3 linked regions of the Xenopus tropicalis genome follow. The protein of the gene in region 1 purifies or fractionates together with the protein of each later gene. This does not show direct contact. Links are inferred from orthologs where the notes say so. Each region holds a gene or a part of one and is shown on either strand. Other genes may lie near its edges. The genes, in order: sf3b3, sf3b6 and u2af2.

The links.
Region 2: the proteins of sf3b3 (region 1) and sf3b6 fractionate together in Homo sapiens (co-fractionation; 5 studies listed by BioGRID and IntAct, with this or other methods). This does not show direct contact. The link is inferred for Xenopus tropicalis from reciprocal best matches to the Homo sapiens genes SF3B3 and SF3B6.
Region 3: the proteins of sf3b3 (region 1) and u2af2 purify together in Homo sapiens (affinity purification with mass spectrometry; 4 studies listed by BioGRID and IntAct, with this or other methods). This does not show direct contact. The link is inferred for Xenopus tropicalis from reciprocal best matches to the Homo sapiens genes SF3B3 and U2AF2.

Annotation. Positions count from the first base shown.
Region 1 is NC_030680.2:75,031,295-75,034,948, forward strand, and holds part of sf3b3 (splicing factor 3B subunit 3), read left to right. Parts: intron 1-451; 5' UTR 452-499; coding exon 500-569; intron 570-949; coding exon 950-1,276; intron 1,277-3,654. UniProt on the Homo sapiens protein: Component of the 17S U2 SnRNP complex of the spliceosome, a large ribonucleoprotein complex that removes introns from transcribed pre-mRNAs.
Region 2 is NC_030681.2:145,722,279-145,726,032, reverse strand, and holds the start of sf3b6 (splicing factor 3B subunit 6), read left to right. Parts: upstream 1-1,287; 5' UTR 1,288-1,304; coding exon 1,305-1,334; intron 1,335-3,049; coding exon 3,050-3,168; intron 3,169-3,754.
Region 3 is NC_030683.2:104,046,044-104,049,697, reverse strand, and holds part of u2af2 (splicing factor U2AF 65 kDa subunit), read right to left. Parts: intron 3,564-3,654; coding exon 3,428-3,563; intron 3,336-3,427; coding exon 3,232-3,335; intron 2,256-3,231; coding exon 2,104-2,255; intron 71-2,103; coding exon 1-70. UniProt on the Homo sapiens protein: Plays a role in pre-mRNA splicing and 3'-end processing. By recruiting PRPF19 and the PRP19C/Prp19 complex/NTC/Nineteen complex to the RNA polymerase II C-terminal domain (CTD), and thereby pre-mRNA, may couple transcription to splicing.

The sequences.
Region 1 (3,654 bases):
TTTTTCCGGTGTATGTTTATTAATAAAACCATTAATAGCAAAATTTCTGAAGATGGCCAGCTACAATGCTTTTGCAGTTAAATATCCTGTTTCGTTAGAGCCAAGATTAGAACTAAAGTATATGCATGTTTACAAAAAGGGTATAATATGTGAAGAACAAACCTTTAGGCCATACTTTAAAGAGTTTCATAGGTGAAAAGAACTAAATGAAATAACTAAACTGAATAACTGAAATTGCAATAGGAAGAACATCTGGATTGAGCATGGGCTGTGCACCTCTGAAACATTAGAATCTGTTGGAATAATGTAATTTATATGTTTTTGGCAGTTTAATGTGTCTGTGCATCAGTCATCCTGCATGTACAACAGGACGTTTTAAGACAAATTAGAAATTTTAATGTGTTCCTATTTTTGGATTGACACTAATACTTATTTTAATTTTTTCTTACAGCTTTGTGTTTGATATCCTTCTGTGTGAATCTCACCTCCTTATTTCATCATGTTTCTTTACAATATTACCCTGCAGAGGGCAACAGGCATCAGCTTTGCCATTCATGGCAACTTTTCAGGTGAGTTTGGGATGAGCAAAAAGTATTGGAGTAGCCTGAATAAACCCTGTTACCGTTTAATAGCATGAAATATGTATATGTGTATGTATGTATATATATATATATATATATATATATATATATATATATATATATATTATAATGTGTGTGAGCTGGCAGTTTGCTTGATGTTTTAAAATGATTATGAAAGTAACAGAACTGAGGGAACTGCCTATATAAAAAAAAAATTTCTCATGGTTTCCTATCTGTTAATATATTTACATTTTATTTTGCCAGTTTATGTATTAATTTTAAAAGGTAATAAAAGCTGAAATCATGCTGTTGATTAAAAGTTAACTTTTTTTTTTTCCTTTTTTTAATCTGTCATATTTGCCAAACAGGAACTAAATTGCAGGAAATTGTGGTTTCACGTGGGAAAATTATAGAGTTGCTTCGACCTGATGCAAATACTGGCAAAGTGCATACGCTTCTGACTGTGGAGGTGTTTGGTGTTATACGCTCTCTTATGGCATTCCGTTTGACTGGTGGTACAAAGGATTATATTGTAGTAGGCAGTGACTCAGGGCGCATTATCATCCTGGAGTACCATCCTTCTAAGAACATGTTTGAAAAGATCCACCAAGAAACCTTTGGAAAGAGTGGGTGTCGGAGAATTGTGCCTGGTCAGTTTATTGCTGTGGATCCCAAAGGCAGAGCTGTAATGATAAGTATGTTTTAATTGTTTTTTTCTTTTTTGTATTAACATAATTGTAATTCAATTTTATATACAGAACAAAATGATGAGCTTTCATGTCTCTTCTCTGACATAGACAGTGGAGAAAATGAATAACTCTGACACTTGGCTATATGTTTGATACTATTAAACTATGTTTTGAATTTGATTGCATATTTCTGTGCAGTCTAACTGTTACACCTATTGTACCACACAAACAATATCTTGTGTCGATGCTATATAACAAATAAAGGAATGCTAATGCAAGCTGAATGTAGATTTTCTTGTTCTTTATAAAGCGTGAAGCATATTATTTCTTTATAGAAAACAAGCATTTGTTAATTACATGAAGCATGCTACCATTCTGCTGGTATGTGTACTTTAGTCTATTATAAAACAGGGTTGACAACTTTGCTATAAAATATGTTAGATTGTTCAGGACAGGAGGTAACATTCATATACAGTGTGTTTCTAAATTTGTTTACATTTATGCCAATGTAGTATTTGTGTAATTAAAGAAAATGTCATTCCAAGCAGTTTTTCAGTGTAAAATTAAAAATGTAACTTACTGTATATACTCGAGTATAAGCCTAGTTTTTCAGCACCTAAAATGTGCTGAAAAAGTCACCCTCGGCTTATACTCGAGTCGGGTGCCATGGGTCCCTCCAGACTAGCACCCTCTGTCCTCTGTGCAAATTAGGCCACCTGCAACCAGACCCTCCAGTGCCCTGGCCCTCTCCCAAATTCATCTTCATCTACCATCCTCACCTGTCCTATTCTGCACTAGACATTGCACTTTATATTCTATATAAACTATATAGTTTTGAAGGATTTTACCTCTTTGTGTTTTTAGCTTTGTTGCTGATTGAACTAAGAGGGTAGTACTCTTTAAGTTATCATTGTTGATACCATATTGTTTTTGTTGACCCTCTTCTTCACTCACAGAGCTAGTTTACTGTTTTTGTTTAAAATAAATATTTAAAAACATATACCCCATTGATGCCTCATTTAATGTAATTTTATTGGTATTTATTTTGATTATTGAAACTTAGCAGTAGCTGCTGCATTTCCCACCCTATACTCGAGTCAAAAAGTTTTTCAAGTTTTCTTAGGTAAAATTAGGTACCTCGGTGTGTTTGCTACAGTAACACTACTATAATTTATATAATAAGCTGCTGTGTAGCCATGGGGGCAAGCCATTCAAGCTGGAAAAAAGGCACAGGTTACATTGCAGATAACAGATAAGTTCTGTATTGTACAATAGTGTTTTATCTGTTATCTGCTATGTGCCTGTGCCTTTTCTCCTTTGAATGGCTTTCTGAAGTAACACACAACTTTTACCAGTGCAGGGCAGCAGCACATTACGTTTTAGTTACTTTTATACACTTTCATTTCTCTCACAATAGCTTGGGGGACACAGGGACAGTGGGTATAGCTCCACCTGCAGGAGGCAGGACACTAGGAAGGTAATAAAAAAAAAAGAATGCTCCTCCCTCTCCAGCTATACCCCACAGCGCAGCCAACTGAAGCTCAGTTTTTTCTCCTAGTGTTAGGAGGTAGGACCAGGCTTAGTCTGCCTGCATCTAGGTTCAGAAAGTCCAGGATTAGCCTGGACACCTGGGGGGGGCTGATCTAGACCTCAAGCAGTAGGTCCTATTCACATCCTCCCCCCACCGCTGGATTCCCCTTGGGGCCACTAAGTCGCTTCGGCGCGGGCCATCTGGCAACATTCCTACCCTCTCTGAGGGATAGACGGCTAGCCAAGGGAGCGCTCAGTCCTGATCCGGGCTGCACGGGTAAGTAAGCGCCTCCCTTTCTACCAGGACAGGAGCGGCGCTGGCGGGACTTCCAGGTTCCCCCCTCCCAACCGGCCAACCGGGTATACTAACCCGAAGCGCCGGGGGCCCTCACTTCCGCATTTAAAAATGGGCGCGCTCAGCCTTACGCGCTCATTGGCTAATACTTCCTGCTCGCGCCCTCCGTCATTGCCGCCAGCCCTCCTGTGCTTCCTTTCGCGCCTTCCGCTCTACATCGTGGCGCAGCTCCGGGGGAGAACCAGCATTGCCGGCTTGCGACTCTCTCTCTGACAGCGGGTATTGCTCGGCCTGTAGGTAGGCTTCCACCCTCTCTCTCCCCTCTTTAGTACAACCTGCAGCGCAGTCTTCCTGGGGCATTTTTAGGCAAATATGGCGGAGGGCAGCAAACAGCAGTTGTTCCCCCGGGGCCCAGCCTCTTTGGCTAATATAAAGTTCCTGGCCTGTGCCAAATGCAAGAAGCGTCTGCCCACTGGGCACAATGAGCCTGTTTGTGAGGCATGCAGGCCCTCTGTAACAGCCTTAGCAGCTTCTCAGCCAATGGCCTTGGACTCTGCTC
Region 2 (3,754 bases), on another chromosome or scaffold:
GCCACATATTTTCCTTTTCGCCAGTCCTTCTTTGGTTTATGGCAGAAATGTTATATTCAGCAAGAAAGGGAATTATCTGGGGGTTCATTCCATAGGTCTTTTAGCATTCAAAATAGATGTCTCTGTGATTAGAACACAACAACATACTCAAACTTACCTTGCTGGATTCAAGATTCAGTGTTGTGGAGACAACGGCGCCACCTTATGGACTTCACAAGGCTGCATTACAGCTTTGCCATAAGTAAAGTATTGCACATACTTTATACAGCAGGTTATAGCAGAAAAAGTGCACCAAGCAGGCAGATTGTAAGGCTTATTTAATAACATCAGTGCAGTTGCCCATAATCAGGAATTAGTTAATTCTGTCTACTACCAGTTATAAAATGAAAACAAAGATTGGGTGAGCCTGGTTTAGGCTACTACTTGCTTAGGCATTTAGTAAGAGCATACACATTGGAAACAAGGAACAGACTGGCTTCTAAAGTGCAAGCTCCTGCCCAGCAATCACTGCCAGGGAAGTGAAGGAGCCAAAAATGGTGTCCCTTGGCCCTGCTGTGCAGATTTGCATTTGGATACCAGGTATGGAGAAAAAGGGTCATTTCCAAAAGTTCTGGGTTATTGAGGATCCCTGAACTACAGGGAGTGTTGGGGAGAAAGAAGGGCACTACACACATTATTAAAGTAACATAGTGACACATCTGTGGGTTCAGGCAAATGCCAGAGGGGCTGCTATAAGATGCCATAGTCACTATTTATTGGGCTGGGGGGGCTGTTTGGGCCTCTGTGGACTTTAAATTCCAGACCTATTTGAATCCCAGTCTGGGCATGGAGACAAGTTTCTGCTAAATGAGAGAGGTGTTCCTCTGCCTCAAAGAGAAACCCCATCATTTATGCCAGACTATAAGGGCCCACATGGGCAGATACTGGCCGGTTACTTGGCCACTTATGATCAGGTCTCCAGCTTAATAGAATATCCCCTGCTCCAATCATTATCTGATCAAGCCTCGTTTATATATCAATCGGGATTGGGTGATGTCAGGGGTGTAAATTGGAAGCTGAAACTGTGCATGGGGAGCTGTGTGTGCGTCCACTTGCTGCCCCCAGAGGGCGCTCTACAGTGCTACAGTGCGCCAGCGCTGTAACTACCAAAGGACACGTGACTTCAGGAGGACGAATCAGCCTATCTCAGTAAGAGAAGTTGCCATTACGTCACACTCAGACTTCCTGTTCCGGTTTGTGCGTGTGGTGTTGGAAAGCGGATTGTTTTTATCGCGTCTGGGAAAGGTTTCTTATTCAGCGGCACCATGGCTATGCAAGCGGCCAAACGCGCCAATGTGAGTGTCAGGCTTTGGGGGTTTGTGGGGCGCCCCGATACGGCTATCATGCTCTGCTCATAAGGGCTATGGGGTACTGCTGCTTCTACCCCGGATACCGCAGCGCTTGTTCTGTGTACTGCGGGCTGTGCTGCGATTGGCTCTGTGGGGTTAGTTCTACCGCAGCTTTCCCTTCAGCCGTGACTTTACTATGTGTGTTACCCCAATGTTTCTATATATCTGTAACCTTGTTATGGGCTAAGGGGGCCCAGCCTGAAGGCCAGTTAGGGGGAGATTTGGGGTGAGTGCTTATTTGTGCCCTGGGTACCCCTGGAACTATAGCGGGGTGACTGTTACCCCAATGTTTCTATATATCTGTAACCTTGTTATGGGCTAAGGGGGCCCAGCCTGAAGGCCAGTTAGGGGGGGATTTGGGGTGAGTGCTTATTTGTGCCCTGGGTACCCCTGGAACTATAGCAGGGTGACTATTACCCCAATGTTTCTATATATCTGTAACCTTGTTATGGGCTAAGGGGGCCCAGCCTGAAGGCCAGTTAGGGGGGGATTTGGGGTGAGTGCTTATTTGTGCCCTGGGTACCCCTGGAACTATAGCAGGGTGACTGTTACCCCAATGTTTCTATATATCTGTAACCTTGTTATGGGCTAAGGGGGCCCAGCCTGAAGGCCAGTTAGGGGGGGATTTGGGGTGAGTGCTTATTTGTGCCCTGGGTACCCCTGGAACTATAGCAGGGTGACTGTTACCCCAATGTTTCTATATATCTGTAACCTTGTTATGGGCTAAGGGGGCCCAGCCTGAAGGCCAGTTAGGGGGGGATTTGGGGTGAGTGCTTATTTGTGCCCTGGGTACCCCTGGAACTATAGCAGGGTGACTATTACCCCAATGTTTCTATATATCTGTAACCTTGTTATGGGCTAAGGGGGCCCAGCCTGAAGGCCAGTTAGGGGGGGATTTGGGGTGAGTGCTTATTTGTGCCCTGGGTACCCCTGGAACTATAGCAGGGTGACTATTACCCCAATGTTTCTATATATCTGTAACCTTGTTATGGGCTAAGGGGGCCCAGCCTGAAGGCCAGTTAGGGGGGGATTTGGGGTGAGTGCTTATTTGTGCCCTGGGTACCCCTGGAACTATAGCAGGGTGACTGTTACCCCAATGTTTCTATATATCTGTAACCTTGTTATGGGCTAAGGGGGCCCAGCCTGAAGGCCAGTTAGGGGGGGATTTGGGGTGAGTGCTTATTTGTGCCCTGGGTACCCCTGGAACTATAGCAGGGTGACTGTTACCCCAATGTTTCTATATATCTGTAACCTTGTTATGGGCTAAGGGGGCCCAGCCTGAAGGCCAGTTAGGGGGGGATTTGGGGTGAGTGCTTATTTGTGCCCTGGGTACCCCTGGAACTATAGCGGGGTGACTGTTACCCCAATGTTTCTATATATCTGTAACCTTGTTATGGGCTAAGGGGGCCCAGCCTGAGGGCCACTGTCTCGTTGCCTGTGTGCACCCACTGAGAACTGTATTGTCTTAGTGATAGTTTCTGATTTATGCTGTTTGTGGGCAATAACTTCTTAAGAGATACTTTTTTATTCCGTGACTTGTCTGATGCTGCTTTGCTCTGTGATTTATTTGTGCATGTTTTTATATCATTAGTGCTTTATCCTGTGTGTGTAAATGTCACACTAACTGATATTAATACAACTCCTTCCCTTCTGTTTTACAGATACGCTTACCACCAGAAGTAAACAGAATTTTATACATTCGAAACTTGCCCTATAAAATTACTGGGGAGGAAATGTACGATATATTTGGCAAATATGGACCCATTCGACAGATCAGGGTGTAAGTAATCCTTTTTCTGCGAATATTACAGTGACAAACATAACCGGATGGAAAAGGTTTGTTTTTCAACTGAACAGTTGTTTAGCATTGTAGACTCATTCTTAAAGAAGACATATTGGATAGATGAAAAAAACTCTAATCTTGGGGGCAATTATGAATAATATCTGGTGCTGGTTTCACTTTGTTAAAAAATAATCCTATCTGTAAAAATTGGCACCTTTATTGGAGCTCCCTATAGATCCTCTCAGGTCCCTGTCTGTGTTTCAAATGAGGGGTGGGCATGTCCTAAAGGTCCCTGCCAGAAGCACAGTAAATGGGGGATAGCCAATCACAGCCTTGCAGTCACACAAGCAAAGACAGGCTTCAATTCCCTGTCGGGTCAGCCTAGCTGCTGATTGGTTCCTATCCTACAGTGCTGAGTGTCCAATGCAAATATGGCTTCCTATATATGTTATTACGTATATAGTGATTGCTTGTTCCCTGGACCATGGTTTTCTGCCGAATAATATAATGATGTAATGTTTTCCAAAGCCTATAATTGTCATTTTGCCCTATAAAAGGAAATCTAATTCTAAGGAAGTTTCCA
Region 3 (3,654 bases), on another chromosome or scaffold:
CAGGATTTCCAGGCGCTTGAGTCAATCCACCAAGGCGCATCTGGGCATTAAAGAAATCCATCATTGCTTCCTGCAAGGTAAAAAGAGGAGAGAAATATAAGTGGTCTGATATCCCTGTTAATAGCAACAAAGAGCATGTTTAAGATCTAGAATGTCCTACTTGCCTTGCACGATGGTAGCAAACTTATTTTGCTACGAAGGGATTTCAGCCCCACAATTTTCACTTTAAAAAGAAATGGAAACAACTCTTTGATCTTGTTTTTCAAATAGAAAAGGTTTCTTTTAAATCAAAGTTGTTTATTGTTGTAATTCAACAAAAGCAGCCATTTCTGCAAAAACCATGCTAACTGCTGGAAAATTTGGAAAAAAGTTTGAGACAAACTCCATTAGAGTGCAGGGCCATAGTACCAGTTCCGAATAAAAAAAAAAAAAAAAAGCAAAAATGCGATACCCATTTTATAGATTAGAAATGTAGGGTTTAGCAATGTGTCACATGATCAAATGTGAAACAAATCATTTAAACACCATGGAGAAGGGACACCAAGTTTTGAAAAAACCCACCTGTAAGTTTTTCTCCATAACACCGAAAGACCAGTTATAAAGCCATTATAGCGTGCTTAAAGCAGCTGCCAAATACCTTACCTGTGTCAACTAGATTAAGAATACTATTTAACAGAACTCAATGTAACTGCTTTGTAACGGTCCATTTTTATTTAAAATGTATTAATGTTACAATTGCCTCAGACACTGGGTCTCAAACATGTTTCTCAGTAAGTCCCCAACTGCTAAGGACAAATATTGTATTACTGCCTGAGAAGAGATAAATAAGGTTTGCCCACTGACTAAGCAAATGATACACAAGGATATGCATTTAACTGGCCACATCATTTACACACTTTACACCAAATAATGCTTATTTGTATGTGGGCTTTCTGGCAAACAATTGAAATACATTAAGCAATAAGGACTTCATTCAGGATTTTGCAGGATTAGGGATGTGGTGGCTGGAGGATTTTTACCATTGATATCCCTTAAAGATCAGAAACCAAAAGACCAAATGTAGGAAGGGTTTTAAACGGTTTACAGTAAAAATTAAACTGGGGAAATAGATAGGCTGTGCAAAATAAAACTTTTCAATATAGTCAAAAATAAAGTCTACATAATTGCCAGAACACTAACTTCCTCCTTTGCAGTTCTCTTATCTGTTACAAGTTTGTAATCAGTAACTTGGGGGAATATGGGATATAACTGTTCCTTTAGATTGCTAAGGATCAAAAGCAAAGTAACTGAACAGTTGTCTTATGTGCCCCTCCAAGTCACTAAGAGGTTAGAGAGCTGCCAAGGAGGAAGTAGTTTTCGGATATGTTCAACATCCTCCCAACTCCAGCCTTTATTGATTACATTTTTGGCTATCAGAAACATTTTTTATTTTGCACTACCTATCTATACCTAGTACTCCAATGACATAACGCCTGTTTAACAATGGCCCTAAATAAAGAGTGACTTAACCAAACTCATACAGCTTAAATGAAAATAAGGGTGGTAGTATAAAGAGAAAGCAATGGATTGCTTATGTAATAATTCAAAGGTAGCTATCAATGCTGGTACCAGGATGGACAAAAAAAAAAAAAAAAAAAAAAGGGTATCTGAGATGGCACAGTTCTCTTGCAGAAACAACCTACGGCAATGTATATTTACCCATGATAGGGCACTGAGTAAAAGCCCAACTACAACTATTCAGAACAACGAATATTCAAACAAATCATATTTAAAAAATTTACAGACTGTATATTTGAAATCCTCGCCTGTCAGGGACTTACTGAGCACTTGTCTGAGAGCCCAAAATTCAGGTCCCTGCTTAAGAGCTGTATGCAGGAAAATTGTTAGTGCCACCAATACGGATAGCTTGAGACCAATAACAAAAGAAACTGAGATAAGAGAATGTTTCAAGCTATGAAATACTTATTAACCTAAGGGGCAAAGAATACCTTCATTAAGTGGTAAATAAAATGTTGAAGAAATGCTGAAAAATGTTTTGGTGCTGCCATTTCTCAACCTCAATACTTTACTATAGCTAGGAAATAGAATGGCTATAGCAAATACCTCAGTGATTCCAAATGGAATATTTCCAACATAGAGTCGACGGGCCTGTCTTGTCATCTGACTACCCACAACAGGCACAGGAGTAGGAGTAACTGCCAAGCCATCTGGTGTCATTGTTGGAAGGAGAGCAGTAGCTGGAATCTGACCCGCAGCTGAGGAAAAGATAAAAAAGTTACGCGAAATATAAATGGTCTGCAAGTGTACAAATTAATAGTGACATGTGACAGTCAATTGTACAGTTAATTTAAAACCAGAAAAAATATATCTAAACAAGACAGACAATACCATACTCAAGCTTACAAATATGTGAAGGTTTAGTACTCACTGTAAATTCATATTTTCTGCTTTTGAACGTATAGGTAATGTGGTGTAAAACTTTTGGCTGGGAAACTCAAGTTAGAAAATTATAAAGGGGAAGCAAAACAGCTGATATTGTCCTCCTTTTACTCCCGTCGAATGATATGCTGTTTTACCCCACAAGGGAAGTCTATGTGAAGAACCCCTTGTGCAATAAAAATGAATCCAAGCTGGACAGCTTTTCTGTAAAGCAAAATATTGCACTTACCTTTTATATTCACCTCTTCTCTGTGCTCAGTGTAGTTTCACAATGTAACTTGTGAACCGGAGCCCAAAATTTCACTGCCTGTTTAAGAGTATGGCCTAATGCAAGGGGCGGACTTACAACTTTCTCCTTTGATGCTATTCCCTTTTTGTACTCTAGGGGTATCTCTTCATGGTCTAACATTCATTTTTCCAACACAATGGCACTTAGGCTACATCAATAATTGTGTAGAAGAAGCTGCCCCTGATAATCAGTTTCCTTTTAACTTCCAAACACAGACATAACACAAATGATAAAGCAGATACTGCGATAAGCACAAAAACTGTACATTCAATCAGAATTCACATTTCAAATATATTACATGCAAGATTATCCAGAAGGCTCCAAAATAAATGCACAGAATCCTTGTTAAGCAAAGAGCTTTTATTTTGCAGTAATAAAACATACCTTTCAAACAAAAAAATATTAGTTACTCATTTAAATAGCAACGCTGTATTATGACCCTTAAAGCTTTCAAAAGCTAAAGTAAAAAGATGAGTATTAACTAAATGTTAAAAACAAATTACCTTGCATGGCTTTATACTGCATAGGGGTGATATGCTCAAAACCAGGAGGTGGAACATCCCAGTATTTACGGATCTTCTTTTTCTTCTCATGTCTTGGTGAGCGACTGGACAAAAAAAAAAAAAAAAAGGGAAGATTTAAGTCATGCAAGGGTTAGCATATTTACACAATAGTTTAAGAGACATCTACAAGTTTTACCTGCGTCGCCTTCGATCCCTGGATCCACTTCGCTGCTCTCTACCTCGCCTGTCTCTGCTACGGCTGCGGCGCTTCCGGTCTCGGCTTCTAGAACGGCTGTGACTACGTTTTCGATGACGATTTTCCTTGTCCCTTTCTAAAGATACCAGAGGAATGTTGCAGAAAATTATTCCACAAATCACAAGCTTGACTGTGCAATACATTTGACCAGCACTTTCTCTCTAGTA